Lonchura striata: one gene and its partner. The protein of the gene in region 1 purifies or fractionates together with the protein of each later gene. This does not show direct contact. Links are inferred from orthologs where the notes say so. Each region holds a gene or a part of one and is shown in the gene's direction. Other genes may lie near its edges. The genes, in order: CARD11 and MALT1.

Region 1 (16,088 bases):
GCAATTTAGATCTACAGATAAAAACCTAGACCAATGTGTGCTTGAATTAATTTCATTTCCATTACTTATTTTGAGATGGGTTATCTGCATTCTATTACACCAGGTGTATCAGAAGTAACTCCATGAATGATAAGTGAATTAAAGTTTGTTACAAATTTCATGGCATGTAATGAATGTATGTGGGCATTGGAATGAAGTGAAAGTCCTATAGATGTAAAGGTATTAAATATTCTAATATAGAGTTGTCATGCAGTGAGAAAGCACAGCTTGCAGAAAGTTACACTATTGTTTCAAAGAGAAATATTAAAAATTCCAACCCAGGTATTCATTTATGGATTAATAAATAGCAGTCATATAGTTTTATGGCTATGTTTAATCTCACATATGTAAAATGTACTGTGATATATGACCACTATTTATATGCATCCTAAGAACTCTTCTACAGGAATGGTCAGAGTCCTTCCCTTGGGAACTACACAGTTAAGTAGAAAATGAGCATGAGATCTTGGGAGAACAGATATATCCAAAAATGAAAAAATAATTTCTAAATAGCAAGTCATAGAGAAATCCCACATACTGACCAAGTGGGACATCAAGATTTCTGTCAGCTCAGTCACAGGGGCCAATTCAGTCTCACAGGCTGTTCAAAACCCCTCAAGAACTCTCCACTACCTGCTGTTTCTGTCCTCTTTCTTTCCCTTGCTCGGAAAACATTATATGTTCCTAGCCTGCCTCAGAATCCTCTGCTTTCAGAAATGATCATTGCTGTTTTGGCAGAATAACTCTGAATGTGATGTTGGCTACAACTTGTCCTATTTAAATGACACAATAAGGAGAAATAAGGCATAACATGGTAATATCTCCGTCTGACCTCTGGGATCTGATAACTTTTCCATCAAATTACTACCTTAGCCCAAGTTGCTTTTGGCAAATTCCTGTTTCATAAACTTATCTCTGTTGTCCTCTGTAACGCCCCAGCTCCTGTTCCTGCAGTGGAGCTGCATTTATTGAGGATGGCTTCAGCTTCCAGCTTTGCAGCATCCAGTGCTGTTGTCTGGCAGAGCTGGATCTTGGGTGTGACTCAATACAGGAATTCTTGCTTTTCTAAGGTGTACTGGTGATATGCTCATGTGGAGTTTCATGCTCTGGTCTTGACACATTTATGTAGCAGTTTCAGGTTCAAAGGTGTTGTGGTTCTCTCTACAGAGGAGGAGAGAGAAGCGCCGATAGATTCTGTGAACCATGGTGGATGCAGAGGACCTGTGATGAAAGGTAAAAATCCTTAACTTCCAACTCTGTGTTGCATTCCCTGGATATTTAAACTGTGGAAAATGTTCCCTTGCCATTCAAACTATGTGGATTAATATATAACTCTTGGTTTAGAAATTGCATAGTTCGTATTATTAATTAACCCTAACATTGCTATTTCTGTGTTGCTGTGTACTTACTGCTCTCAGCACAAAGTTTCCTCCTCCTGACCTTTTGAAGAATCTGTATGGATTCAAAAAGACAAAATGTTGAAGAGTGTGAGCCATTTAAGCTCTGCAGTTATTTTCAATTGATCTCTATTAAAACATCCATACTTTTAATTGGAATAAATGCTGACCTATAAAAAATACAAGAAACATTTCAAATTTAAAACAAACAAACAAAAATAAGTAACTCACCTCTCTTGGCATCTACTAAATTTCAAGTTTGATAGATTATCCTTTGGATTTCAGATATGTTAAATCCTTCGGTCTAATATTCAGAAGAGATATTGACAGTGCTACTATCACAGAAAGATGATTTTATGTTTTAAGCAAAAGGTGAGATATGAAACTGATTGATTTATTTAGAAAAAAAAAAACCCAGAAACTGTTGAACTAAAATAATTTTTCCAGTATTTATTCTGGTGAAAATTATCTGAATTCTATGAATGGTTGTTTTTTTAAATAATAGTGATTAGATTTCTTCCTGTCCATCTTTATTTTAAGAAAAAAATATTGTTTTAGAAGTGTCTGCCCTGATTTCTGAACTTTTTCCAGGTGTTGTGGCATTGTTGTCTTTTTTTTTTTTTTTAATTAAACCAAAATATTGAACTATGTGAAAGAACTATTTTTACCACTTGTAAGGCAGAGGAAATATTCCCTTTTTACGTCTCCAATACTTAGTCTTATCATCCACTGAGGATGGATATGAATACATAACTCATTGGTTGCTGTTAAACTAAATCATTTGTCTGGAAGGTTTAAAGATCCTTGGATTTAAAGCCCTGTGGACATGTAATTAAGAACATATGGAAAAGCACAAGCACCTGAGCTGTGCCTCACGCAAAATTTTGATTAATCATGTAAGTGTAAGGGAAAGAGAACAGGTGGAAAAACAACTAAATTGACTCTGTCTCTTCTGGAGACAGCATCAGAGAGTCTGGAGCTCCCCTCCCTTTGGCCTCAAGAAGGGGCAGAATGGGTCACAGAATCCCAGAGCTGCAGAATCCCAGACTGCTTTGGGCTGGAGGGAACCTTAAAGCATCTTGTTCCACCCCCTGCCATGGGCAGGGACACCTCCCACTGTCCCAGTCTGCTCCAAGCCCTGCCCAACATGATCTGCAACAATTCCAGGCATGAGGCAGCCACAGCTTTTCTGGACAACCTGAGCCAGGGTCTCAGCACCCTCACAGAGAGGAATTTCTTCCCAATATCCCATCTAAATCCACCCTCTGTCAGCTTAAAGCTATTCCCCTTTTTCCTATCAAAACCCCAGGTCTGGGTTCTTTGCTTCAGTGAAGGGCTGGGTTTTTTTGTGCCATAGATTGTGAACCCAGATCCCAGAATGGATTTGAATCCAAATTTTCCACACTGGGTGAATATGCTAACAGGTGACTGGGATATATCCCATAATACTGTCAAACTTGACAGAGACTGTACATTTTGTGCAAAACCACGTAAACCCCACCACTGTCAAATGAAAGAGGGAATTTTATGCTCTCTGTTCCCCTCTGATATATGTTTGGCTGTCATCTTATTTCATAGTTGAGGCAATCGAAACAGTGTTTAAATGTGTATCATAAACCTATAGATGAGAACATTTCCCTGCTGGATTTAAACCATTACCCCCAAAGGTGTTAAAGAAACCACGCTGTGTGTCACTTTTTAAGATCAAGGGGCATTTTTGATGTTAATGCCTAGAAAAGGCAGATGAACACTAACAGCTGCTTATGCACAGGCTGGTGAATTGAATAGGGAAATACTTCTGTTCTGGAAGTCAGATCTCCAGAGAAAAATGATAAATTGTGAGCATCCTTAAGTAAGAGTGATAGTCTCTAAGGATAGTTGAGCAAGGCTGATAACATAAAATATGTAAAACGGGGAAAATATTTAATACTTCTGTTTCTCTGCTCTAAGGAGTTGGAAGGGTTGTGTTAACAATATATACGGTGCTGCTGTGCTCAGGCATGCAGGAGAAATGCAATATATTAGTTCTCAAATCAGTAGTTTGTGAAATGCATTTCTGGTATCCAGGGATTTTCAGGACTGTTACCCTGATAAGGAGTCAAGGGCAGCCTCCTCATGGGCTGGGATGGCTCTCTTGGGAGAAGAAGGGAGCAGAAGAAAAGGAGCAGCAGATTAAGAGCTTTTAAGAGCATTTTAGTGTTCCTTTACTTCTAAATGTTGATTTTTTTTTTTTAACTCTTCAGTTTGCAGATATTTAAAGCTCTGCAGCAGCTTCAACTCTGACTTAGAGCTGATGAATCACCTCTTTAAAAAGGCCTCCTGTAGGAAGTTGTGGTGTACAAGGAGAACCTTACACCAAGGGAAGTTTATTTCCATAGGAAGCATGTGTGATTCCTGTGGGACAGACAGAAGGAGAAGGGAGAGAAACTTTCCCTGTAGACCCCAATAACGATGTTCTGGTATGGGCAAAATGTGTAGGAGACCAGCAAAAATAGGGAGGAATAGCTAAGATTCCAAATAATTTCCACTGCTTAATCACCTAATAGAAAACCTTGAAATTTTGCTGGCTTTTTTATGCAAGGAACTCAAAGTAAAACCCTGCAGGAAGGGAAGGTACAGAACGACCAAAGGATTTAAAATGCAACCTCATTCAGGTTGCACCACCAGGGCTCAGACCTGCAGAATTAGTACAACTGGAAGGAACTAAATATACCCTTTTTTTTCTGAAGTCTCTGGCAAAGAGGGAGACAGAAACATACCAGGTGTGTCCTTCCAGGTTGAAAGCAGAGGTGCAATTTATTTTTTCCTGCACCAGGTTTAATGAAAGAAATCTGAGAAGCCGTAACCAACACCAATAACAAAAAAAGTATTGTTTATTGTTACCTTTAACTGGATAGCTTCTTAAACTGAAAGTTCCAGTGGAATAAAAATAATCAGAATACAGAGACAGGTATCTTTTTGAGGCAATTAAGTTTTCTCACCCCAAAAAATAAAAATATAAAAGGAATATTTATTGCTTAGAACTCTACCATTCAGGTTCCTAGACCCTTCATTTGAGTCAGGAAAGCCCCTGGTTCAAACTCTGCAGCTTTTTGCTGTATTTTATGTGATGCATCTGAAGTTTTTCATTTTTTCTGCCTGCCTGGTTAATAGAACATAATTATTTTCTACCCTTACATTGTGTGAAACACATAACTTCAGTCTGCCAGCCTCAAGGAACTGCAGCCTCACTATAACACTTTTTTATAGCTTGAGGGAATTTTTTTACACCTGAAAACTGGGATTAAGATTGTAAATTCTTTTAAAATAGAGTTGATATTCAGTTACATGTGGCTTTGTGATTGATGACTGTATCCTGCTCAGCTAATCTCAGTTTGCCAGTAAACCCGTTATGACTATGAGAATTTTAGGTTCTTTGATTTCTGTGATAGATTCCTTAAAGCTGCTCAGGCTTTGCTGGATAATTGCTTCATCTCTACGGTGTCACTTTAAACACAGGGAAATGTGGCATCTTCTTTAAAACAGTTACTGTAGTTTTTGATCTGTTTGTAATCTACAGCATTAAACAAAGTAAAAGCAGGAACAGGAACAAATGATACCTAACCCCTTGCATGGCTCTGTAGGGCAGTTTCAGAGTGTGCTGCCTGATACCCTGTTTGCTGAAGAAATCAAGGACAGAAGGAGAAAGCTGTAATGAGACTTTGTGAGTTTTGATTTGAATTTTTAACATGTTTTTCCTTTCAGGTTAGGAACTATATGTGGAAGATCTGTGATTTTAAAATTGAAGTGAAGCCACAAAGCCTCCTGCCAGCAGAGTTAGTTTCTCTGGTTGTGCTTAAAATGGTTCCTCTGTTGCATGCACAAATCAGCTTCCTCTGTGAAAGCAGCAGAAAGCTCAACTCAAAAGTGTTTTGTATTGGTTTTGATGGAAGAATTGTAGGCCATGATTCTTATAGCTCTATTTCACAGTTTTCACCCAAAGTTTCACAGACTTTCCCCTGGTCAGAAACTGTAGAACCTCACCTGTGCAGTTATTGCATGGGGAGATTTTTGGCTGCTCAAGGCAGGAGGTTTTCCTGCACCTTGTCACATGCAGCTCCAAGTGTGTTCCAAGCAGTGAATTTTGGTAAAGCTGCAGAAGAATACAAGTAACACATCAAGATATAGTCCTCACTGGAAAAAAAATTGGTAAGGGGATAGCAGGTTCTGCTATTGCTCAGCAGGAGACAGAAATTCCTGCCTTCCTTTATCTTTGAGCTCTTGATATAGAGAACTGGAATTGCTTCCAGAATCCCTTTCTGAATAATCCTCATGGATAAACTTAGACCCTCACCAGTCCAGCTACAGTTACAAACATGTGAAATAAGATAAAAAATAATGGAGGATTGGAGCAGAGCACCCTTGCAATTTTTTGCAGGCTTCAGATTTTCAGTTTGGTAAGAGCAGTTCATGTGTTATTGTAGCAAGACTTTGAGCCATGTGTTTTCTCTATTTTCTTTACATTTCTTCTTTTCACTGTATCGCCTCACTTCCTCTATTCTGCTCTTTGCCACTGCTCTATCCTTTGACAGTTTTTCCACTGTTCTTTTGTACTTACTTTCCATTTGTTATGGTTTTCTTTATTCTCTACCAAATACTTTTTCCTTTCTTATTTTCTCCCTCCACTAATGTCATCATGCTTTCCCCCCCCCACATTATTATATATTATATGTTGCTTATGCTTATTTTTCTAGTGTTTCTGATTTTATTTCTGTTATTTTCTCTAAGGAAATAAACACATGCCCATGCCCATATATACATAGTTGTTTTTCTCTAGTCACCCTCAAAGAAAAGCTGAACCTTGCAAAAATCATGAGGGAACAGAAGGTGATCCAGACAGAAAAACCTGTGGGTGACTCTGCTCAAACCCCCGTTATTGTTTTCCCAATTTGTAATTTGATGTGTTTGCATTTACAGCTGGACTGGTGACATTTGCAGTCACCCTTGCACACTGGCTTCCCTGTTACACTCATCCTTTCTTTAAAAGTTCTTCTGTCTGTCCCTCACACACCCAGGACCTGACTCCAGGGAGGTTTCACCTGTGCACATGTGCCCAGTGTAAAGGTAAAACCTCGGCTGTGAGCAGTAGAGCTGTACCTGTGCCTTGTACAAGAACCAGCACACCACGCAAGGGGTTCAGGCTCAGGATCCCTCAGCAGGGTGGCAGAGCACTGCAAGATGTTTCTAGAAGTGATGGTGACTGCTCTGGTGGGTTTGGCTGCAGGGAGGCTTCTGGTTGCAGCAAGAGCTAAATGTCCTCTGTGAGACCCACCAGGGGCTGGGTTTGCATGTTGGCCTTAAGGCTGGAATCCAGCATTGAAGCAATACAAGCTACTGCAGCTTCTCTGTGTCGGCAAAGACTGCCTTTGGAAAACACGTTATTCAAAACATCCTTCAACTGTAAAATAATTTGATGCATAAAGCAAACCTTGTTGACTACCTTTTTAGCAAAATAAGCTATTAATAATCTAGATGCCTTAATGAAAAACCTTTGATACCTTGGGAAAACCCAGAGCTCCTTCTGCCTGGAACTGTTGTTCTTGAAACTCTGTTTTCTTCAGTTCCTTCATTCTTTTTTCTCTCCCACCTGCTTTCTACCAGCAAGTGCCCTGAGACACCAGGGCTGCTGCTCTGTGCTGGGAAAGGCACAGCACCAGCCAGGCTGGCATTAAGCACATCCCCTTGAGCCTGAGGAAATCATGCCCTGGAAGTGTGTGGAGCTGAAGTGAGGCAGTGGAGACAGGCTGCTTCTTGTGCCCGAGCCGGGCATTTGTGCTGCCACCTCTGCCCACTGCTCTTCCTGGGAAAGGGGCAGCAGTGCCTCCTGATTTGCTTGCCTGCTGCCACAGGGCTCTGCTGTCACCTGCCTGCAGAGTCATTTGCAAACAGGCCCTATTGCTGGGGAGCAGAAATGTGTTTTTTTCAACCTGCAGCAGATTTATAGTCTGGTTTCCTGTCAGATCTTTGCATTTTCCTTCTCTGCCCCTCCCAGCCTCTGACACACTTTTTCTTACTTTCTGTGTGGCTCTTTGCTCATTCTGACACCAGTGCCCCCAGCCTCCTTCATTCCTGATTCTCCCGAGACTTTTGTACTTTGGGGGCCAGGGAGTGTTTTGCTTCTTGTGTTTCCTTAACTTTTCAACAGCTGCAGAGCACGAATAACCTTTCCAGGACTCCTGGAGAGACACAGACTGTTGCATGGAGGCGACGTAGAGAGTGCAGCCTGCAGCAGCTGCAGCCCCACAGCCGGTCACTCATGGGCACCCAAGGTAAGGAGAGCAGCTGGCAGAGCAGCTCCCCTCCCTGCTGCCTACACAGCTCTGATCACTGAAAGTTCCACTTTCACCTTTTTCGTGTTGATATTCAAAAGGTTCTTTGAAAATGGTTCCATTTGTGCTTCCCTTGCCATCATCAGGTCTGATATTCAGCGTGTGTCGATCTTTGGAGCCCAGGCTTGAGGGAGGCAAAGAGGCTGTAGCTGGAGGTGCAAATGTGCACTGGGAAACTGAGTTGATATGGAGGTCTGGAGAGGGGAGATGAAGGACTGATCATCAGTGCTGGTCTCCAGGGTATTTCTGGTTCTACCCATAGTGTGTTGAACTCTAGCCCTTTCTTTAAATCTCTTCACTGAGATTTATGCTTTCTGCTAACAAGTAAAATCTTTATTATTTGGTTTTCTTCCTCTTTTTATTTGTTCTTCTCACTTCCCTTTTTCTTTTCTCAACCCTTTCTATTTCTTATCTTTTTCACCATCTTTTTATGCCTTTTTATGCCTTTTTATGCCATCAAGAGTATTTTCTGTGTGACAAATTATTTCCCTTTTTCATTCCTTTCCTTTCCCTCTGCCTTCTTTCATGTCTGTGCATCCTCCCTCAAGTTCTTAATCTCTCCCTCCCCTCTGTCAGTTCCTTCTTGTTCTTGTGTTCCCCTTTCCCGTTGTTCCTCCAGCTTCACACATGCACTCCTACTTCCTGCTCCATCCCCTCTCTCCTGTGTTTGCTGCACTGGAAAGAGCCTTTCGTGAGAGCTCTTGCCTCTCCACTGGCCTGTCCTTGCACACATGTGTCTCTTAGTCCTGTCATTCCCTTCCATGGAAGTGTTCAGGATTTGCATATTTACAGTTTTGGGGATGCATCCCAAAATAGGAGACTTTTACCCTTGCATAGCTTCCTTCCAATGCTCAGACTCATATTTAGTCATTCACAGCAAATAACCACTGTCATCCTGTCTCTCTGTTTCTGTCTTACAAACAGCATTTTCTAGCACCTGTAACCCCTTTGTCTTCCTCTCCACTCTCAAATAGAGCCTGCCCTGACTTTGTGTATTCTATCCCTTCTCTTTTTGCCATCCCACTCCTTCCTACCTTCTTACCACAACTCTTCACCAGGTTTCTCTATCTGTTTTTATCTTTATATTGCATTCAAACTAGGAGGAAATGCTGAAGCTGCTGGGCTTGCACTGCTGCCTTAGGATCCCTCTGCCAGCCTGCAGGGGAACCAGAGGAAGTATTGCAGTCTCTCAGCTCCTCTTTCCTCTGCAGAATAACCAACCTGAGCAGAGAAAGAGCTTAGTGACTGAACTGAAGGTAGATGAAAAAATGGGAAAGTACATTGCAAAATGCCTTTTGAAAACTGTAAAAAATAGTTCTAGTTGTTAGTTAATCTTTTTACTAAACTGAATAAACTTCGGCAATTCCTGCCCCACAGCAGAATTTCTTATCTGACACTGGCATAGTTTTTGTCCTTTTGATTCCTATGGGATTCCAAGTCCCAAAGGTAGACGTTCTCATCTCCGATGCTGTAGTGGCAGTTACTTTGCTCCTAGGATCTGGAAACAGCTCATGTCTTTTATACCAGACATACTGGTGAGTCACCAAGATCAGACATGGCTAAAAACTGCATCCAAGGACAATATCTGGTGTTATTCCTTGCTTAAATTTGTATGCTTTGAATCAAATATGACAAATAAGTGTACTTCTTTGATGAAGCTTTTTAGCCTCACCTTCTTGAGCAGGACTATTGAGACTGAAGATTTATTCCTAAGGATGTTCTCGTGTGGTCTTTTGGGAACTGAATAAGTTTCACTTATTAAACTCAGCTGAATTAATAAGAGAATTATTATGTGGGAGAATTCTCTTAGCAATCTGTCTGGCTCTCTCAAATTGTCCATCTCCTTATGAGTGAAAGGAGCTTAAATTTTTATGTTTGCAATTATAAAATATCCTTTCTGATTCAGAGTTAGAAAACTGTGGCCTTTGAGCTGTGAGAATTCTTTCTGAATACAGAAAGAGGTACATTAAAATATCTTTGCCTTTTGGATCTTGCAAAAAGTCCACAAGCCTAGAACAATAAAATACGAGATGCTAATTTTATACATTCAGGTCTAAAATGACTCTTTCTTATTCTGTTGCAACTCATCTTGTGATGGGAACAGCATTTGTATTCCTTTGAGTCATTTGAAAAAGCTTTAGGATGTTGTGCCTTATTTCATCAGTACTTTCTGCCCCTATTACTGGTTCTTTTTGTAAAGGCTCCCATAAATAAATGGGCTGGGACAATGTCTCTTCTCTCTCACCCCCTCCTTTTTCTTTTTGCATCACATTGTTTCCCTGTGTTGAGCTAAAATGGACAATGTCAAAGGTGTGTTGTGATTTTTGCAAGGGGACCTGGAGACAGAAATTGTATTTTTGTGTGTGTCTGTGTCCAGTTTCTTCAATAATGTGTCTGGCAGAGGAGGAATTTCAGCAGGAAAGAGCCTGGAAACTTTCTATCCTCAGTAAATTTCTGTATCAAGAGAGCCAACCCCAGAACAGAAATTCAGAATCACGTTTTACTCCCTGTTCTTATGCAAATAGTTACTTCCAATTAGATTTAACTCTTAATTAAGAGTTCAATAAACTTTAATGATGAACTTTCTTAATACACTTTCAGCGTGGGAGAAGGAAGAGCCATCTGACTGCCTGTATCTTTTACAATTAAAGTCAATTTGGACCTTCTCTAGAAAGATGAAACCCAGATAACTGGATATGCTGAAGATACCAGAATGCCATACACCAAATGACCTTGGTTTCTGTACAGTTTCTTGGTAAAAGTTTTCATCTGATAGATATATGGAAATGTAAATTTCATCACAGAGGATGAAATTTATAGAGATCCTTAGCTACCCTCTTGTTAGCAGATGGCTTAACTCTCTCTTTGATATTGAAATGCATCTTTCATGAAATACGAATCTTTCACTTAGATATGGTCATTAAGTCATGTAACTGATGGTGGAGTTTGACCTGTGGCAGCTTTCTTTGGCAGTAGCCTCCACAGCAATCTAAACTTAAAAAGAAATATGGAAGTATGCCATGTGATTTTCAAACTGAAGGGTGAAACCATAAACCCCACCAAGTTTGGTCAAGTCTCACCACTGATATGAGAGAAAAATTCTTTGTCTCTTGTCTGTTTTACCACTGCTGTCTGTAGGATTTGCATTTGCAGAACACTGCTTTGCTGTGAATCCAGTATCTGCAGTGAATCTGCAATTCCTTTTTCAGAACAAATGATGGGGTTTTACAGGCCTACATGTAATAATATTCTCCATCTCTACCCTTCCCCCAAATTTTTTCTTAAGTGCTGCCTTCATCCTCTAGTCTGGGTCACTTATTTAATGGCAATGAACATTTTCAGAAGGTAACCTTTCTGCTTGTGATTTGTTCAAGGACTCTGGAATTATAATGGTTGCTGTCAAATGTGTATAATTGGTGTCTGTGGCACACATCCAATGAGTGATAAAAGCTTCGTTGTCTCTGCTGCTTCAGTCTGTATTCTCTCCCTCTATCACCCTCTCACTTCTGCTCCTCTCAGGCAAGAGGAGAATGCAGTGCCAGGCTGTTTAAAGTGCAGTTAGACAGAACAGCAGCTCTGCCAGATTCCCTGTCACGGAGTGTCCCAGCTCTGGGCAGTGAATTCCCTTGGCTGAGGTTTGCTCACTGACTTGAGTTAAGCACAGTATCCTCTGAAGTTTTATTTCAAACACCTCCCTTCATAACCTTCTGCCAAATATTTGGGCTCTAGGAAGGATGATAGTTTGTGAGTACTATGAACTCCCAAGCTTAGTGACCTACATGTAACATTTTACCAGTGGGTAAGTCTCATAATTGAGATGGAGACAACACAGAGCAACACACTCCATTTTCAGAAGGCTTCAAACTCTTTATTATAGCAGGCATGCTTGTTATACATTCTTACAAAACTCATAAGTTTACACTTTACTCACTGGTCACGAGAGACAAGGTGCTTATTGGAATAGGCAGTTACAGGTTTCTCTTATTTATCCTTCTTTCTTTCTTGGTTTCTATGTCAACAACTTCTCTCTGGCTCATAGAAGTCATGTAAAACCTCTTCCAGAGGTAAAAACTTTGTGCTTTTATATACAAAAAGCAAGCACACATTACTAATAGCACCCAAAACTGGCAACATGTTGTTCGTTGTCTGTTCCCAGTGCTGAACACGTAGTGAAGAGAATATTTCTGTTACTTTAGTCCTGCAAAACCTATTTTATCTTCAGGGCTGGGTGGGTGATTACTTTCTAATGCTGTCTACTTCAGTGAATCTGTTTAGCAACTCAAAAGGAGAGAGAAATTTGTCAAATCTCACTGGAAATCTATCAGAAATGTCAAATGAAATGCTGTAACATTCTGGTTTTGTCAAAAGGATAAATGTATATACAGCTGTGTGTGTGTGATATTATTTGTAGTAATTGTTGCCTCAGTGAATTTCTCTGTGTGAAGAACTTGGTGTTGCATTAAGGGATGTGTTTGTTCTGGTCCCTGAGGCCAGCTTGGCCTTACACAGAGGTACTTGGAATTTGCCCAAGTCAGCCCTGGTTTTTGGAGTTCAGGGGAGGAATCAGCTTCAGTGTAGCCAAGGAAAGGATTCCCACTGGCCGTCTGAGCACTGGGTGTTTGCTGGAAAATTTTCCTCAGGTTGTAATTGAGATGCTGAAGACCAAATGTAGCATAAGTTTTCTGTTTAAAGTGCGATAAGGATTTTTTTTTCCATCTGCATGCAGAAGAAGCTGTATGGTAGCAGTACATATATGGTTGTCATTAGCAGCTGAAGAATTGTTTCCACTTCATTTTTATAGCTCTAAACCTGTAGAAACATCTCAAATCTAGCTGTGCCCATACTTGAAATCAATCTGAGTATACTTAATAAGTTGTTACATGCATTTAGTATATTTGAGCACAAAAATAAGTTCCTCCAAGATTTGAAACACTAATAAAGTCAGCTATCAAATATTTCCCTTTGGGGATTCTGAATCCTGATGAAACTGGGAAAACACCCAAAGAGTGTTTCAAGTCTTTTTACACCAAGTACATTTCCAAAGTACAGTGAAAATGGTGATTGAAACTTTGATCATGAACTGAAAAATTATCACATTTGTAAGACCATATGAGGGCTTTTGGCTTCTAGCAACTCAATTCAAATACCAGCGACCTACTCTACTCTCTGACCAAACTGGTCCATTGCATGGAGTCTGTTTAAAGGAATCTTTCCTCCCTGATGGCACTTCCATGTGGATCCTCTGCAAAGTCTACTGGTGCATCCCAGTCTTTCACAAGAACAAGTCACTGTGTCTATCCAGCATCTGCTTCCTGCATCTCACTGCTTGGCTTTTTCTGAATCACAGAATTATTTAGGTTGGAAAAGGCCTGTTAAGGTCATTGAGTCCAACTGTTAACCCAGCACTGCCAAGTGCAGCACTAAATCATGTCTCTGAGCACCATGTGAAGGTAGTTTACATTCCATATGGTTTTTTGTAGTTTATAATGAGGTAGTTAGTGAGATCATCAAACTCTTTTCACTAATGATTTGCAGTGACTGAAAATAGAAAATTCCATCAATTTTCCCACCTTCTTTACTATTGCTGAGCTGATTTTTTCCTGAGGGGAAAAAAAACAAGCTTAAGGTAAGATTCTTCCCTGCTCCTACACTGCTAGTCCTCCTTCATAGCTCCTGCTGAAGGCAGTCAGGATAAGTCCCAAAATTTAATTCTTTAAAAATCTTCTGTGTGGGCTTCATCCTTCCAGTAACATATCCCTGTATTTCCAGTTACATATTTTTTAGAAAGACCCAAGAATGGCAAGTTTTATTTTAGAAGGTTTCATTTCCTTCTGTCTTTTATTCTCTCTTTTTTTGCGATTTATGCCATGAAAGATACCAGGGTAGGTAGCATGAAACAAAAAATGTTTAAACTTTTGTGTCAGGATCGGAAACAATGTGTTTTCCTCTTGCTTCAGTTGTTCAAAAAAAGTGAAGGAATTTTACATTTTCCAAAAGGCTGGAAAGGCTGAATCTATTGGGTTTTTAAATCCGCAGGTCTGTGGCCTGAAGGAAAAGTGATACTTGAATATTTTTATATGGAGTGTTACACTGCAGAATGGTGTTTTTGTGCCTCATCCATATCCATACTGAGAGCAGCATCCAGGCAGTTTTGCTGGACTAAACACTATTGACAGCAGCACCTTCACTGTATCACTGCCCAACAAGGCTGCACACCTGGGAGAGCAGGGCTGGCTCCAGACTGGCCTTAGAAGCTATGTGAGAATATAATATCAGGAAGAATATTCCACCTGCAAGGAACAACTGAAAAATGCTTGGTTTGAGGCAGAAGTGATCAGAATTTGAATGCCCCTTTGAAGTCAGTGGATTCAGTGACAAGCTGTTACACATACCTTGTACTATGTGCTGCAATGCAGAAAAATGTAAACTCATTGCAACATGATAATAGTGAAGAAATCCAAAGCTGCTTGAGCAGGATAGTATTAGAAATCTTGAATGCATTTAGAATTTTTGGCTGTTAAATAGCCAATGCCATCAGCACTTCAAGTAGAGTCTGCACAAAGGGACTGAACAGTAGAAATTATTATTTGAACATCTAAATATGGTGAGGAAAGAGCATGAGAAAAGGCAGAGGGTGGTTTGTAACTGCTCCTTTGGTCCTCACAGAACATCCCAAGTTCTCCCTCCCCTTAGCCTGACCTATTAGTCTGACTCCCCTCACTTGTCTTATTTAATATCTCCTTTTCTCCTCCTTTCTGATTCCCAGCCCATGCATGGGAGTCCCATCAAGTGAGAGAAGGCATCTGACAACCTCCTCTCTGTCCAGCAGACTTTAGAGCTGAAAGCATCACTCACCTCCAGTTTGTGACAGAGGGAGGTGAAGCAATGCACAAAGCACAGCAAATGAAAAACCTGCCTGAAAACAGAGATGGGCCATTGTGCTTTAGCAAGCTCTAAACTCTCTAAACAAAGTCAGATTTTCATTTGGGATATTCTTCCAGTTCTTTTCTCTTGTGGACAATGTTTCACACACACAGCTGGCTGCAGTAATCCAGGTTGTTCAGGGTGCTGTGCTGGGTGTCGGTGCCAGCTCAGAGCATCAGCTTCTGTGGGCTGGGCAGTGCCACATCCTGGCATTCTGCAATGTGTTGTCACCAGAAATTTGCTCTACCTTGAATTTAGCCTTACACAAGCCCAAGAGAAACAGAACAACTTCTGCTGCCCAAACCAGCAATCCTTCTTTCCCCCAGAGTGGGAAAAATGAGTGAGTTGAATGTGGATTCTGAGCCACCAGCTGGACCATTCCATCCTGAAAAGGAACAGCAACATTTTTGGCTAAGTGCTAAAAGTTTGCATATAAGAATCCAAAAGGAGCATATGGCCATTGCTTTAAACTTGCCTTGTTCTTTAAAAATACACTTTACCAGAATTATCTATTTCAGACTCTCTAAATGTGGAGTGAGAAAATTTATTTCCCTCTTTTTTCCTTGCTAGAATAAGTGGCATCATAAATACTAGAAAGAAACAGAGTTATTTCAGGAATTTGAACTGGGATAAGTATCATTTAAAGAGGCTTCTATCACCACTCCACTGAAGATAGCAGGGACTGTGCATCAGTTGTTTGAAGAAAGTTGTTGGTCTGTTGTTGTCGAGGCAGGACAGGAATGAATAGACTTGACTCAGAAGGCTGTGACAGTAAGACTCCAATTTATTCAAAATACACTGCTCTTTTATACAGAGCTTCGTGAGGACCAAATCCATCAGTTCTGAAGTGAAAACAACCCACCGCCATTGGTGCAGAGTGCTTGATGCACAGTGATAGAACTTAACTATAAACAATGTGAAAAACAAGAGAGATAAAGAATTATTTACATTCTTCTCCAGCTCTTTCCCAGGCTTCTGCCTGCTAGAAACTCTCAGTTTCTTTCTTTGACTGAATCTGAGTGCCACATTGGTCCTTGTTCAGTTCACCTCAACTCCACCCTTCACCCCAGCACCAGCACTGCTGATACAATGGGCAGTGTTACCCCAGTCATTCTTGGTGATAACGTCTGGGTGTGACTCTTTGCTATTGCAAATGACTGATCATATGACTGTGATATGAAACTGTCTTGATGTATATGAGTAACCAGGACCATCGCTAATAAACTGCTTTTTACCCCAGAGAATGTTGCCATTGAGAGCACCCAAGGGGCTTGCCCACTCACAGAGTTACTGCTGAAGCTCTTCTAGCAATCCAGGAATTATTAATGATTAGTCGCTCTCAGGAAAGGTCCTGTAAACA
Region 2 (16,531 bases), on another chromosome or scaffold:
AGTGGTTACATCTGTGGGGTGAGAAGGCACCTGTCTGCTGCAGTATCCCTCCACTCTTCCAGCAGCGACATCAACCACACCGTTAAAATTAAGCAGGTCATCACCATCCTCTGACAAATCCCTTAGGCAGGAAACAGTTGCCTGGGATTTAACTACATTTTTAACATCCATGTTGTCTTCTGTGTTAGGCAAGTGTCTTGAGGGATTTCTCAGGTGGAGACAAAACTCCTGCTTTGCTGAGCTTCTCAAGCAGTAAATGAATTATTTTTGAAGAGTCAGAACTGGATGAAATCAACACAGTCTCACCCTCACAGGGGAAACTCTCACATTGTGCAAAATGTTTCCCATTTTGCTCATTCTACCCTGAAGTCTGTCACGAGTTCATTTAGGACAACAACAAATTCTAGGCAAGTTTTGTTCTTTCTATGTGGTTCTGGATCAAGAAAAGTCATTCTAGCTCTCAATGAAGTGCAGCTCTTGTTCTGTGCACCTGCAAGTAAAAGAAATGCAAAGTTTAAAATCACTTCTGAAATGGTTATAGGTATTTTCTAAAAGGTGGTCAGTTGACATATATTTGCAAGCACTTTCAAAACAAGAAATCATTATTTAAAACCGAAGATCAGACATTAAGGCAGTAACCCTAACCTGGCTGTCTATGCAATGACACTTACTGGCAGCACATTGCAAGTGCCCGGAGTGATCTGTGCTAGGAGAACAAATCCCTGAGCAAACCCACACATCCATGTGGCGCCTTGACAAGGACTCTTAGTACACAGCCTTTCAACTTTTCTAAATGCAAACAGGAACCTGCAAACAATGTACATTTCCACACATACCCCACTGCTACAGCTACCTGCTGGTTTGGTAGTCACATTGGCACAAGAGCAGGCTATTCCTTGAATTGGCATCATAGGGACATAAATCCCAAACTCTGTTTGTAGAAATACCCAGAACAACCAGCCTGCTTAGACGTTATAGGCCAATTTCTGTTTAAAGCAATTATTTTGTGCTCTGGCTTGATATTTGTCATTCATGTGATGAAAGAACAGTGAAAGCAGGCTTGCTTCAATTTCCTGCTCATATCAAGTTTTCCCTTCAAGCAGGTGTGCAGTAGCAGGGTGGCAATGCTGAATTCACATAAAATCCAAGCAAGATACACCAAAAGGTTTCCACTGGCTGAATCCAAAGAAATGTAGAATCATTTCTCTCTTCCTGTAACACAAGCCTTGTTTCCTTAGCATTCCCAACTCTTAGGATTTTAGATACCCGAGATGTTTTTGTACATTGCTAGGAGCTCTCTGCCTCATCAGTCACCTTGGAAAAGGTGTGACATGGTAGCACTGGAAAAGTACTGTAGCAGTTTCGAGTAAATATGACCTCCTGGAGGATGCCAGACTAACGGCTCTGAAAAAAAGTGACTACATTTATTCCAGTATTGGTGAAGAGCAGAAGGAAAAGCTTTCTTGCCATGTAATCCAATGAAGCCATTTAAAGACACCTCTGTTCATCCTCCTTTTCCTTCTCCGTGTATCTGCTGTAATGATGTTTCCAGCTCATGTCCTGCCCTGGCCTGGGTCCCTCAGCCCCCGGCCTGGCCGTGCCCAGCAGGCAGGCAGTACCGTGCCACAGGTACTGCAGGCCGACCGGGGGAGAGAGCTGGAGCTGGACTAGAGCCTGCTGGTGAAACAGCAGCGGCTGCGTGGCCGGCTGCAGTCTGCCTCTCCTTGAAGAGCACTAGGCAACCAGGGATACCTTAGCTCCCTTTGGGCAAACCTGCCACCAACACCTCTTCCACAGTCACCTGGGTGCTGGAAAGTAGGGAACAAAGTTGGTTAACAGCAAGGACACAACATTAGATGTGTGACAAACAGTTTGAGTCCATGTACACCAAGGAGCCCAGACAAACAGCACATGGGGCAACCAGACCAGCCTTTCTGATCACACTGCTTTCCTTTTCAACTCCAAGGAATATATTTAACAGGACAAAAACAGAGCAGTAGGGATTAATCTTTTCCTCATCCATTTTATTACAGTAACATGAAAATACCCTTCAGAGTTCAGCCTCTCCTCTTAAATATGCATTTGCCTAATGTTTCCTGTTGCACTCTTTCAACACTTCTCTCATTTTTGCTTTTTAGAAGACCAGATGTCTCTCTCTCCCCTCTTTTGGAGGTTGCAAATTATTTTAAAAGCATGGTAATTTCTCCAGCTGAAAATAGCTTTGGCAACATGTTTTTAATGCAGACTAAGGAAAAACCTTTACTAAAACCATTATACTAGGCAGTTATTGTTGTCTCAGTTTGGCTGCACTCTGACATTGAGGGGAAAAGAGCTGTCAAGATTTCTCCATATGAAAATTACATTGGATTTCCATGCACTGCCAGATGCAACCACAGAAATGAAAGTAAAATAACATTCCAGGAGAAAACTGCAATAAATGATGGGTTTCCACCCAAGACAAAGAGATACTATCTTTTTTAATCTGGAAAGAAAATAGAAAGTATTAAGATTTTTTTTTAAATTCAATTATTGAATTTAGACAGAAACTGGAAAGAGAACTTTTAGTATGATAACCTCTCAGCTCATCAGGAAAACTTGTGGCAGAAGATGCACAGTGAAATTCACGGAGGAAAGAGGAATGGGAGAGACCATGGTAATTTACCATCGGCTTTTGACTAGTAACCTGAAAATTAACTCTCTTCCTGATAAACTGGGAGTTGAACACTTGCTGGCAGAAGACACAAAAACATTTAAACATGCCAGGGTGCTGTGGCTGCTTGTCCCAACTCTCACTCTGAAAACCAATGATATTCCTTGCTGAATCACAACAGCAGACACCTGAAACACAGCCACACTGAAGGAATTCACCCACCAGGTTTGAGCAGGTCATGGCAGGAAATGTGCCTGATTTGGCTCTCTAATCTGCTGCAAACAGATTTTCCATTTTGTAGTGATCAGAGCCATGGGGAATTTTTATGGTAGCCCTTGAGGCAAATGAAACACAGGTTCATGCTCAGCAGGGTCTGCTCAGCTCCTACCTGGGCTCAGTGCCTGGGAGCTGAGATTAAGGGAGAACAAAGCTGGGAGCAGCATGAGAACAGCAACCTGACAACTGTGCTTGGGTGTGATTGAGGAGAAATATTGAACTGATGTAAACCTGCAACAGTCAGATTAACAAGGAAGCAACAGGCAGATGGAGCTGCTTCACCAAAACCCTTTGATAGCAGGAACACACTGGGATTTGTCAAAAAAGCAATCCATTCCAAATAATAGTTAACAAAAGAAAGGCTGGCTAAAGCATCAAAATGGCTAAAACAATCACCCAACTTTTCTGTAAGGCAAATATATAATAAAACAAATTCAAGTCAATTTTCTGAAGAGATTCTTCATTTAAAATTCATACTTTGTCATAATCCCATAATGGTTGTGAAAAGCCTGTTCACTATTCATAGTGAAAATATTGTCTGAAATTCCAGTTCTAAACATAAAATCTGGCTGCTCAAAATTATTTTCCTTGAAATGACATCACTCCAAATTGAAACTTATTTTTATACATTGTTAAATATGTTCAATATTTGATAATTTATTTCAGTTGAGATCAAAACAGTTTTGAATTACACTTTAACATGGAAGGAAAAAAATTTAAAATATTTTATATTTTGTGGGTAGTTTTGGTGACAAAGCCACTTCTAGTGATTTCAGAGGGACCTGTGGGGTTATTCCTAATGTCAGAAAAAAATTAACTGACAAAAATATATAAACTTGATTAAAAGGTGGCCATTACATTTTCTCTCTTGCATCACATTTTTCCAACTTTATTAAATTATTAGCAAAACAAAAATCTTCTTGTGAAAAATTACCAGATATTGGCTTTTGCATTTATGTATTAGCCCATGCTTGTTGTTAGTGATTATAACTATTTTGAAATAGTATCAATTATAACTCTTTTCAGCTGCATGTTAGTATAATATAATCTATCACCTTAAGCATGCACTGTATTGCTCATAGAAATAGTAGTGCAATGAATATAATAGCTATGTATCACTTATGGAAATAATAGTGTGTTGAATGTACTGTGTTATAGACCTTAGCAAAACATAAGATGGGAAAAAAAGGCTTTTGTGTAACCAAAAACAGTGTAAGGCCATCCAACCTGTCCAAGTGCTAAGATAACCATGGCACAAACCAGAGCACCGGAGCACAATTAGAGAATACCGTGTTAAATTTAAGGAGGACATACTAAACCCTTATCAGAGGATGTGAAACAGCAGGATGGAGACACAAGAAAATATATTGACCTGACACCCAGGATGTCATGCAGATAAGCCGGAGTATGAAGAAGTCAGACAAAGAAGTTCCCAAAACATCAGAAAGTTCAAAAGAACACTTGAATTATGCATGAAACACAATAATATGCATGTATCTTATTGATATAACAGTATAAAGATAACATTGTCTGTATGCCCTCCCCCCCCACCCTCATGGAAATACTGTCCTTTTTTTATCCTATTACTATAATTATTATTATTTTTAGACTTCTAAAAACTCTAAGCAGTGAATTCTGTTTTTCACATTCATTTGTAAGCAATTTTATATTCACAGAAATTATTTATACGGGAAGCTTATGCATTTTAGCAATCCAGAAGTGAATTTGTGCCTTTCTGTGAGGTTCATGTCCTCTAGAGTCAATGGAAAAATCCCCTTTATGACATCCCTGAAGCATTTTTCCTTTGCTTAAGATCTATTCATGGAGTAATCTCTGTTTTGTGTGCAGGCCCTTTTCAGTAGTGCTCCTTCCTATCTTTCAGCAGCACTCACTGGTCCCTGACCTTGCTGGAGCTGTCCGCCCACCCAGGAACCACCTCCCGTTATCTGTGCAGCCCCAGCTCTGGGCTCAGGGGCCCGTCCCACGCATTTCCGTGGCACAGTGAGCACCTGGTCAATGCCCACCCCTCGATGGAGCCAAGCTGTGACCCCCACAAAGCTCCCAGCCAGAGCAGGTCCTGCCAAGGACCTGCATCACACCCACCCAGCCAGAGTAGTGGGAAGAGAGAGGCTGAGTGAGCCCACACGGGGGATATCAGCAGAACACCAGGGGAATGACACTGATCATGCACAGTGGTTCACACTGGGGAATAGCCTTTCATCAACCAATACTTTGGGCTCTCTATACCGAGCTGACAGCAGTTCTGGGATAGCTGAAGCAAGAGAGAGCGCAAATGGAACACCTTGAGCAGCATACTTGTCAAAGAGTGCACAGTGTCAGAAACCAAACTACAGAAACACTGTATTATCTAAACCAGTTACCACACTATCTATTGGATTAATAAGGTCTAGGTAAGAAAAACATCAGTGAAGTTGTGGCTGTTCAAAAAGTAGATGTCTGGAAAATATGCCCTTGCCGAAAATTCTGTGATATATTGAGGTTCTTCAACTGCCAGTATCCAAGGCTTTTTGACAACATTTTGATTAGTGCAGTACCCGCTGTAAACAGCCCCACAGTATAAAAACACCTCATCCATAATTTATCAGCTAAATGGACTAATAAATTACTGGCTCTGCACATGTCAAACAAACACCTTAATATAGAGTAATTAAAATAAGCAATCACAGCACAACTCTTAACACTGATCTGTCTTAATCTATTTTTAACACCTGTCAAGCATCTGACCCTGTCAGACTGAGCAATTCATGAAGATTGGGAATCACCTATTACTACCAAGTGACCAGACCTTTTCCTCAAGAATGGAGGAACCTTTTATCTAATGCATATTAGGCCGTGCTATAAATATTTAGAATTTAGAATTAATAAATGTGTCTTTCAGGATACCTGGTATCACTTACACACTCTTTAGAGAAGGAAGCTTGCTTTTGTACAATTTTTGCAATTTTGTCTTAATGAGACTTGGTGGAAATAGTAGCAGAGAGTAATTTCAGAAACAGTGAGCAGATTTATAAATGCAACATGCTTAGAAACACCCAAATCTATTGGGATAAACAAAAATGGCTCTTCTTTAGCAGAAGGAAATACCAAATCCCATTTCCTGGTCAACAGCAGTATAAATCAATCCATTGTAGTGCACTGATAATAAAAGTAACTTGCTCTTTTTCCTTTATTAGTCTTTTATGATACACATTCTATTTGCCCAGGAGAAAAAAAGCAGACAAATAATTTTCAAAGTCCAAACACCCCGACCCCTCACTTACCCTTGAGCTCTTTGTGGATGTTCTGGGATAGGCTGGTCCTGGGCTGGGCCTCCCCACTGGAGACAAAGGAGGCTGAATTTGTGCGCGTTGTTAGGAGCTGCAAGCCAGCCGACAGCTTCACCGGTGTTTTGGAGTGCGATCTCAGGATAGGGAGTCTGATCACTGAACAGTTTGACTTTTAAGAGAGACGATTTCATTACATGCAGCAGATGGCCCTTCCTGGGAAAACCTCTGCCAGACAGGGAGTTGGCAGTGAGGAGAGGGCACATCCTACTTCCATAGAAGTCCATAGGAATTTCCTAATGGCCTTGAGACAGAGGAAGTGTTGGCCTTAGTTTTTCATAACAGAGCACTGGCTTGTTTTTTGAAGCATGTGCCTAACTGCTCTTCTAGGCAAGTTGGGAATTTCTTACTTGCTGGACGTTAGGCACACAAAAGTTCTGCTGAGCATGAGAAAATCCACAGTGCCTAACAAGCAGGCTGAGGAAATCAAAGGTGGACAGTGGACTTCTCATAATCTCTACACAGAAATTCACCTTATCATCTTCATCCCTCAAAGGCAAATGAGCAAATCCTGAAGTAAGAAAGTATTTCCACTCTTGGTACCCAAGGAGACAAGTCTCACACATGGCAAACTGGAATGAATTGCACAAACTGCCCTGAGTTTAAGGGATCTGGAAGAGGCCGAAAAAACAACTTTTGTGCCAAGTTTTTTCTTAAGCATTTTGAAGGACACACAGCTAAAACTGGTTACAAGATCCTACTGTGCTAAATACTTCTTGCTCCCAGTGTTATCTAGACAGATAGGAAACTGTGGTCTTCAGCAGTAAATATAGCACTTCCAACCACCCTTATTCAGAAATAGCAATAAGAATATCTATGTTTTATAGACGAGCCTAATAGGCAAAGAAATGAGAGGCAGCCACATTCAAATCAGAACAGTTTCGGTTGGAAGGGACCTTTAAGGGTCATATAGCCCTACACCAACATGGGCAAAAACACCTTCCACCAGACTAAGTTGCTCCAAGCCCCGTCCAACCTGATCTTGAACACTTCTAGGGATGGGGCATCTACCACTTCTCTGAGCTACCCAAATGCTTGATCACTGATTAAAAATGTTTGTAAAATTACTTTCTTAGGCACCTTCAGTCCACTTTGAGCAAGTCGCAATACCAGAGAGGTGAGAATTCGCTTCAGATCATCTGTTTGCAGTGATAACGATCACTCAGGGGAACATCTCGGGAGGCTCTTCCTGAGCAGTTCCTCCTCTCCCTCGCTGAGGACGCAAGGTGCCTTTACGCTGCACGCTTCGACAGTGGCAGCAGGCTGAGAAAAGCTGTGTAAAGGAAGAGAGTCCATGGTCGTACTGCTCGCGGTCAGATAAAGACGTTTCTCCTCAAGGCGAGAGAGAAACAGCTCTCGGGTCTTGTGGGCTTTGTCTGGTTTACGCCCCAGCCCCGGTTGTAAAGCCACGTTCGGCCTCCTCAGCACCACCCGGGAACGCTGCAGGAGGTCTCGCGCTCGCACAATACGCCCATTTCAACAGGGGTACGACCGCGCCTGATCTGTTTCCTCACGGTGCCCGAGGAGGACTACGGGATGTCCCGGGGGCGCGGTGCCCTCAGAGCTGGGCCCCCTCAGAGCTGGGCCCCCTCAGGGCTGGGCCCCCTCAGGGCTGGGCCCCCTCAGGGCTGCGTCCCCTCAGGGCGCGGAGCCCTCAGGGCTGGGCCCCCTCAGGGCGCGGAGCCCTCAGGGCGCGGAGCCCTCAGGGCTGGGCCCCCTCAGGGCTGCGTCCCCTCAGGGCTGGGCCCCCTCAGGGCTGCGTCCCCTCAGGGCGCGGAGCCCTCAGGGCTGGGCCCCCTCAGGGCGCGGAGCCCTCAGGGCGCGGAGCCCTCAGGGCTGGGCCCCCTCAGGGCTGCGTCCCCTCAGGGCGCGGAGCCCTCAGGGCTGGGCCCCCTCAGGGCTGCGTCCCCTCAGGGCGCGGAGCCCCTCAACGGGGCTGTGCCCCCTCAGGGCGCGGTGCGCGCGCTCCCCTCAGCCGTACCCGACCCAGCCGCCCCGTCCCGCGCGGCTCTTCCTTCCGTGCGGTAGCACCGCCCCGGCGGGCAGCCATGGAGTGCGGCGCGGCGGGGCCGCTGCCCCTCAGCCGCCTGGCCGGGCCGCTGCTCCGTAGGCTCAGCGAGCTGCTGGACCGCGCGGCGCCCGGCAAGGGCTGGCGGGAGCTGGCGCAGCGAGCGGGGAGCCGCGGCGCGGTGCGGCTGAGGTGAGCGCGGGCAGCGGCGGGGCGCGGGCAGCGGCGGCGGGGCGCGGCCCAGCGGTGCGTGTTTATCTCTCTAATCCCGTAAAACACTGAGAGTCCGTCCACTTCATAAGTGAAAGTATCACCACATACTGAAGATATCTCGTCCCCAGGTTTGCGTAGCTCTGTGATTTAAGGAAGGAAACGTTGATTAATCTTTTTAGTGGAAATATGTAACTTTGTATTCTCTTTAGGCAGTTGTCATTATTTCTTTTTTGTGTTGATTGAATGCCTGTGACTGAAAGTGCGTGACAACGACACCAAAGTTGAAACTACAAGTTCAGACACAGGTGACTACGCTGTACAGTCGGTGTGTTAGGCTGGACTCCAGCAGTCACTTGTTTACAACAACTTTAAAATCAGTCTTCCTGTACTTTGAAGTTAAGAGTCTGACTCGCTCTCTACGGCTTCTGAGTCAGGCTCATAGAAATGAAAGATGCTGTACTACTTTTTCTGCTGACACTTTAAAAGTGAAAAATAGGAGGTTTCTTAATACATTTGCTGAAACTTGTGAGGTATATGCATCTCTTATACCATCCAGCTCACTAATACCACTTTCTGTCTGCGGAGGTGTCACTGAATAACCTCTGTACTCCTGAAACTTGAAGGAAATGCTGCAAATATGTCCAAATCAGCTGGGAATTTCCCATCTCTATTTTTATTTATCTACAAGTGATTGTTTACCCGGGTCCTTTCTGAGAAAAAGGTATTGAGAAGGTCTATGCCATGTCTTTCTCACATTATTCCATAGCCCTCTCGACTTGGAGCAGTGTTCCCTCCAGGTGCTGGAGCCAGAAGGCAGTCCTAGCTGGAGTCTCCTGAAGCTGCTGGGGGATCGGGGCTGCACTGTCGTGGAGCTGGCGGAGTCCTTGCAGGCCCTGGAGCACACAGAGGCTCTCCGGTGTCTGAGCCACTCAGGTCAGTTCTGGGCTGTGCTTTCACTGCGGCCCTGGATTTTACACTGGGAACACTCAAGGTAGCACTCTACAGTAGCGAAAAGCAACTTTAGTGCTTGAATTCTAGCTAGTTGGGATCCAGATGATTACCAAGGTTATTGGCTGATCTGATTCTGAGGTTAAATGTAAGCCAAACCTTCGTGCAGTGTTGTTGAAGACTTGGACTTGGCTCCATGGGTGTGCTGGGCGTTGTCATTCTGTCTGCTGACTGGGGTTTGGTCTCAGCATGTGCCTCTGGGAGATGCTTATGGACCAGAGATGGACAGACAGGTAGTGCTGCCAGCACTGGAGTCTGGAGGTGTCAGTAACTTATCCCAGGTGAAGGGGAAGGGTCCAGTTAGGGCAGATTATTAATAAGATTATGAATACTGAATCTGCATGGTTTCAAAGTCCAGTAACCATAGATGTCACTTTGCCATATTCAAAGGTAACACTTATGCTCTGCATTTTCCAAGGAAAATGGAAGAAATATTTATGTGTCTTTGTAATCTATCATAAAATTGAGCTGGAAGGTTTTTCTTTTTGAACTATTAAATTCCATGGTACGTGCAGGAAGTGACTGTGTAGTGCTGAATAAACCACAGGAAAGGAACTGAAACTGGAAAGAAATTATGGATCAGATTTCTTAGAACTTGTTTGGAATGCTTCTGATGAGTGCAAAATGCTTATCTTCCAGTGGATTTTTCTCATCTATGTTCTTAAGAGCTGTTTGTGATGCAAATTGGGGGAAATTAAAAAAAAAAAAGTGGAAGTTTTGGAAAGAGCAAGCCTTCTTAATTTTTCTGTCCTTTAAATTGAAATAGCATAATTACTTTTCTGCTGGTTAATGTTAGAGGACTGTGATGCTCAAAAACAACACAGTTTAACTGCAGAAAGTGGAAGAGGAAGTGTTAAACAAGGAGTTGAGGTACTGATCTCCAGTGCTAGGTGTAGAAGGAAGTGATTTTGGAGTAAGGAAGGCAGGGAATTTCAAAGTGCTGCAGCTTTTTTGGAGTAGCTGCTGGTGTGTTCTACTCTTTCAGAGTAATCATGTGAGTGGAGGCAGCTGATGGAACACACTGCTCTGCCAGGCAAGGTTATGTGATTTCCAAACGCCGTGTGCTCTCCGTTTCAGGCTGTTGTCTCTGTAGGTTCTGGTCTAGTTGGACTATCCAGAGCAAAGAATGTTTCAAATCATGATTTTTAAATGTTCCGTTCTCCTTCTTCTGATGACTTTGGCTATACCAGTGGACCTGGTTTTGGGACCATGCTGTAACAAGATCTGGAATACCTTAGGTTAAGAAAATAATTGCATCATATTGGAGTGGTGTCAGTTAAGATTTGAAATAGAAAGTTTTACCTTGCAGAAAACCCCAGCCCTATGTTCTGCATGAATCAGAGGCATAAGAGTGTATAAGGAATAGCAGGAAAATGTGCTCTGTTGGACTTAAACTCTGACTGCTTTGACTCCCTCAGGCTGGGCCTTAATCTGAACAGCTCAAAAAAAAAAATCGTTGGGAGTGAACAAACATTTAAAACTGAGAATATCTTTCCAAAAAGGGATCTGTGATACCATGAGACATATTATTTCCTTTAAAATTAAAATATCTGAATGATATACTTTAAACCTTTTATGAGCTCCATCGAGTACTTATCGATTTGAGCATGGATTTTGTGTAGTGGAAGACAATTTTGAATGTCTTAAAGTAATATAACTAATTGGAACTGTGCGTATACACAGTACAAACAAATTATTTTCAAGTATATTTAATGACAGAAAGGTTCTGTGCTCCAAGGGCAATTTAAATGCAAATATAAATTATGGACTTGTATTTCTTCATAACTTTTCTATGTGTAAATTCTGTCTTAAAGGTGTAAAGATTGTTGTACAGCCAGACTCTCAAGCAGTGCTCTCTGGTCAGGTTGTCAAGTTGTGCTGCTGGGCAATAGGACACCCATTTGTGCAATACCAGTGGTTCAAGCAGGAAAAAGAGGTAAGAGTTCATAGAGAATGCAGGGTTTTTAAATAGTGAAAATAACACATAATGATTTTGGATCGTCCTTTTTTTTTTTTTTAAGACTCTTATTCACAATGAGAGAAGATTGCTGTATATACTCATAATGCTCAGAAAGTTTAAGAAAAGCTGGATGATCCTATGAACATGCTAAAACAAAACTGTGATTCCTTATGTTCACACCACTTCATTCCTGGGGGCTGTGAATGTGCAATGGGGCAGAAAGGAAGCTGTAAGTTCAGTTGTCTCAGGCTACAGTAAGTGAAGGAGTTGAGGATGGTGTTAAGGACTTGGAAATAAATATAATAATGCTTGATCCTGGTTAAGATTAAACCAATTGAAATGGAAGTATTTTTGGTTCATCTGTGATGCAGGTTCCCCATGGTAATTCTCCAGAACTGGTTTTGAGTCCGGTGAGTGTAAAGGATTCTGGCTTTTACATCTGCCGAGCGAACAGTGAATCTTCTTTCACGTTCAGTCGGTGGGCACGCCTTGAAGTTTGTGAGCTTCAGGATATGCCTCATGGTGAGTGGCAAAAACACCTTCTGAAAGTGCCTTCCTGCTTCCTCAAGGCACTTGGGTCCCTGTTGCTGTGCTTAGGTTGTCTCACACTTCCTTTTCTTGTTACTTCCTTTTCGTTTTTAAGGGCTCTTAATGGGTTTGCCTGAAAACAAGTTGTGCATTTGTAATCAGCCTCAGCCACAAAACCTGACAGTGGGGGATGCTTTGGTACTAGAATGTGGAGCTGTTGGAAACCCAGTTCCTCATTACCAATGGTTCAGAAATGGATTTCCTTTGGCAAATGGGAGCAAAAATGTCTACACAGTAAGTTACTGCAATGGGCCACACTTGGGAGCTAACGTTAACCACCTTGAGCTTACCACAGAAAGTTCCTTTGAAGAAAAGAATTTCTCCAGAACCGCTGCTAGTTTTTTTTACTCTTTCTTGCCTGTGGGGCTTAGATGTAAGGCTTAAATACCTGATGCAGGTATTTTTTGGAGTTCTGTTGGGATGATTGTGATGATGCTTGCATAGGTAACTTGCGTGGATGTGGGACATCAAGGAACATATTGGTGTCATGTATTCAATGACCGGGAGGACGAAGACAGCAAGAAAGTAGAAGTCATTATAGGTAAAGAGTTCTTCTATTTCATACAGGTCAGCTCTTTTGTCCATTTCTTCTACATCACTAAAATATATTTTTGAAGCTTTCAGTATTAAGACAAGCTCATGCCTTCTATATTTTTAGTTTATCCATTTGTTAAAACACCTGTGCTTGCATCTGGCAAATGGAATTTTGGAGTTTTGGGTTTTTATGATAACCAGTACAGAAGTACTGTCCCTTTTCATCCCTGCCGGCATGTATGTGGCTTGTTAGCAGATTGCTAGCTGATATATGCTTTTTGACAACTAAAAACTTTAAAACACTTTAACCCTTGCTGGAGACATGAACTCTGTTACATGGAGTCCTTCAGCAATCAGGAGAGGTGAGCTTGTTCATTTCAAGTAGAATGAAGGAACACGTTTCATGTTCATGCATGTGTATTTGCAGGGAACTGAAGAGGAGCAGATCTGTTTGTATAGCTTCCAGATCTGACAATACTACCATGTAACTTCCTAACGTAAGAGACACCCTAGTTTAGTACTCCTGAGTTTCAGGAATCATTACTGTAGAGTGTTATGGCCAATGCAAATTTGCACTGCTGTAAAGTGAGCCACATTGCAGAGCAGCTTGACAGTGCCCTTTATCTTCCACTTTGTGTGCTAACTCTCAGAACTGAGAGCTCATCTTCCAATTTTTTTCCCTCCTTAAAACACAAGGAAGGAGGGCTGTGGCAGTGGAGTGCACAGAAGGTAATGTAAACCTCTAATTGTGAATCAGTTTTAACAATTGGTGATGGGAGTGACAGGTTGTTGAGTGTGTTGCTGAAAGGCATTTGTGAGTTAAGAGCTTGGGGTTAAAACATTGATGGATGATGCAACAGTCCTTCTGCATGTGCTTCTCTCTTCTTTGCCTGGACACATGATCTAGATCACACGGCTACTTCCTTCTTTTGTGGTATTCAAATGATCTGGAAATTTCTCTGGTGGGGCTCAGGAGGCAACATGCTAGAAAAAAGATCTGGAGATATTCAGGAACCTGGATGATCTTAGAGAGCTGGCTAGAGCTACTTGCAATGTCAGCTCCATGTCTGCAGAAGTCTTATTAGCACCGTCCTCAGGATGTTTTCTGTTCTCCTTTGCACTGTTGCAGCAGGGAGGAAGAAGTGTATTGTGACCCTTAATGTTGGTACCATCCCTCCCTCGACTGCTGAGCATTTCGGAAGCTGCAATATCCGCAGCACGTGGGGTTGGGTTCAGTGGTGCGAGGCTGCTCCGAGAGAGCACTGGTGCTTCAAGGATGTTAGGTTTTTTTCCCCTGCTTTCCAGTGTTCTCAGAAGAAAGAGGTGAAACCCGTGGTAGCTTAGGATGTTTGAAGATTGTATCTGAAGTCTTTCTGAATACACGTGGCTTCCTAAAATCAGATTTTTTGCTCAGGATGTTGCTTTTTCAGCAGCCCCTCAAACGTCTGTTCTTCAGTGGGATGATTCTGATACTTTTTCCTTTTTCCTTCAACCTACTTGCATGCCTGTGGGATTGAGGTGTCATAACTGTCCCCCACTTAGTTTTTACATCTACTGTACTGCAATGCTGCGTCTAGCACAGCTTAATGTATTGCTATAGGATTTTCTCTTCTCTGTGGAATAAACACAAAAGGTTTGATTTGCAGAAATGCAAAGTCAAAAGTATTTTAGAAACGTAGTTTGTTTTCTTTGTTCAGCTTTGTTTAATAATGGCATGGCACTTATGTTTTTACTAATAAAATGGGGTTTCTGCTTCTTGTTTAAACTATTATTTTATTGGTGTTTTCCTTCACAGAAGATTTAAGTGATCTTCAGGAATCAGGTGAGTGATAAGTTTTGAAAAACTTTAACTTGGCATCTTCATTTTATGTTACAAGTAATTGAAGGCTCGCTGGGTTGCAATATAAACTTTACAGTATTTGGATGTACCTGTAACTGAGAACTGAATAGGAGCTGGTATCACCTTAAGAGCAGCACAGCTTTCTAGTTCCAAGAGATTTCACTTGAAGCATATAGAGAATCATAGGGGTGCTGTTAGTAAAATAGCCCAAGGCTGCACATACACTTACACAGATACAAAGGGAATTCTCTTTCTTCTCTGTGGTTTCTTGAGACTCGGTTTTAGGACATTGCTGCTTTCTCAGATAATTAAGGTGAAAAAGATGTGAGGTGTCTGCCTCTCACTCATGATATGTTGAGTGGCATAGTTCAGTCATGTTGGAGTCAGCCAGTGTGATTTGAAGACTGTTAGGTGGTTGTTATAGAAATGTTGGTTTACAGTCTTGCTCCAGAGGGAATTATCCCTGATATAGTTTTCCCAAAACCTCAACTCCCAAAGATATTATCCTGGGTTAGATATCAAATTCGTTTATGTTTGCCCAGTCTCAGTTTCAGCCACTGAAAGGCTTTTCTGTCATACTGTGTCATGTTATCCAGGTGAACCACTTTGGCATGCTGCTTACTGTTTCTCTTGGCACAGCAGTGGCTCTGCCACCCCTCTGTGAAGTACAGAATAAAATAATTTTCACATTCAGATGGGAATCCCTGCTAAGCATCCCCCACCTTGCATGTCTGCTTTTTGTTTGGAGAGGATGAACTGGTCAGATGTCACTGAAAATGCCAGTGTGCAGTTTGTGAGATTCAGCATCTATTCTTTCTTAATCTATAGAATAAGTTATTCACATCCTGTCAGGTTGTTTGTGGAAAGAGAGTGAAGGAAACAATCTAAACAAAAACAACAATATCAACATAACACCCCCAAACCCCACCAAAACTAAGAGAGGGCTTTTTCTTGCATTAAACTAGGAAAGTGTTAGGGAAAGCAGTGCTACTAGACTATGGCTGTGGGGAGGATGCAGTTCATTTTCTGGAGTCGCTGACACGCTGCTCTTTTCTTCTATTTCAAACAGACCCACAAGAAGAGTCAAGTCACAGACCTGTGGGTAAGTAGTTTTGTACTGAAATGACTATGTATTTGACATCTAGGATGCAGATTTTGCTGCTCCTGAGTATTGCTGCTACTGACACTGCCAGTGCAAGACCCATGGGGCAAATAGAGAGCTCCAGGGAGGGAGATCTGTGGATATTTGTGTAGTCCTTTTAGAATGCTTGTTTGCCCTTTCAGGTGTAAACTGTGCCAAGGGCACCAGTATTTTTAGTGACCCTGTGAAACGTTTGCAGCTTCTCATCTGTTTCAGTTTACTGCTTCAGATCCCTGTGGCCAGACCTTAGCCAGTGTGTTACTCCATTCCTTTGCACACTTGGAGGCAGCGGTGTTGGGATGATGTGATAGAAAGGATTGCTATCCTGTCTGCTAAGGAAATGCTGTCCTTGCAGCTATCCCCGTTCCATCATGTGGATCCTTTGATGCTGAGCTGAAGCTCATAAAGAGATGGATAGCACATGTGATATGAAGACTAGTTGCTGGGTTTTTAAATCACATACTTAAATTTGCACTGTAGACTTGAGTAGTCAGGCATGTTGTCCTGTTGATACTACACCAGATGGAAAGGCTGCTGGCCCCTGCCAGAATTTAATGGCTCTTTCAAGTTCATTAGTGTGAGGAGGAGTGTTGTAAGTGCTCCTCTCTCATGCAGGTGAGTTTTTTTCTTCAGGCGGAAAAGAGAGTTGAGCTGGGTTGTTGATGTGGGATGACTTGTAAAATCAGATAAAATATTGTGCCTGAAGTGAGATTGATACCCTTTTCACTTTGGAAAACTTTCAATCTAAAGGTGTTGAATCTATGGAATATATAAATGTGACATGTTTTTTTTTCCCTCTGTGTGTCTTGGCAGCCACAGACAAGGTGGCTCTGTTAATAGGAAACATGAGCTACTGGAATCATCCCCAGCTCAAGGCTCCAATAGTAGATGTCTATGAATTGACCAGTTTACTAAGGCAGCTGGATTTCAAAGTTGTATCTTTGCTGGATCTTACCGAGTCTGAGATGC

Evidence for each region.
Region 2: the proteins of CARD11 (region 1) and MALT1 purify together in Homo sapiens (affinity purification with western blotting; 6 studies listed by BioGRID and IntAct, with this or other methods). This does not show direct contact. The link is inferred for Lonchura striata from reciprocal best matches to the Homo sapiens genes CARD11 and MALT1.

The regions. Positions count from the first base shown.
Region 1 is NC_134618.1:13,862,279-13,878,366, reverse strand, and holds the start of CARD11 (caspase recruitment domain-containing protein 11), read left to right. Parts: upstream 1-7,624; 5' UTR 7,625-7,731; coding exon 7,732-7,744; intron 7,745-16,088. UniProt on the Homo sapiens protein: Adapter protein that plays a key role in adaptive immune response by transducing the activation of NF-kappa-B downstream of T-cell receptor (TCR) and B-cell receptor (BCR) engagement.
Region 2 is NC_134642.1:363,140-379,670, reverse strand, and holds the start of MALT1 (mucosa-associated lymphoid tissue lymphoma translocation protein 1), read left to right. Parts: upstream 1-8,266; 5' UTR 8,267-8,318; coding exon 8,319-8,470; intron 8,471-9,257; coding exon 9,258-9,424; intron 9,425-11,313; coding exon 11,314-11,435; intron 11,436-11,830; coding exon 11,831-11,981; intron 11,982-12,102; coding exon 12,103-12,281; intron 12,282-12,491; coding exon 12,492-12,588; intron 12,589-14,376; coding exon 14,377-14,403; intron 14,404-15,490; coding exon 15,491-15,523; intron 15,524-16,375; coding exon 16,376-16,531. Other genes in the region: ALPK2 (alpha-protein kinase 2), read right to left, coding at 1-171. UniProt on the Homo sapiens protein: Protease that enhances BCL10-induced activation: acts via formation of CBM complexes that channel adaptive and innate immune signaling downstream of CARD domain-containing proteins (CARD9, CARD11 and CARD14) to activate NF-kappa-B and MAP kinase p38 pathways which stimulate expression of genes encoding pro-inflammatory cytokines and chemokines.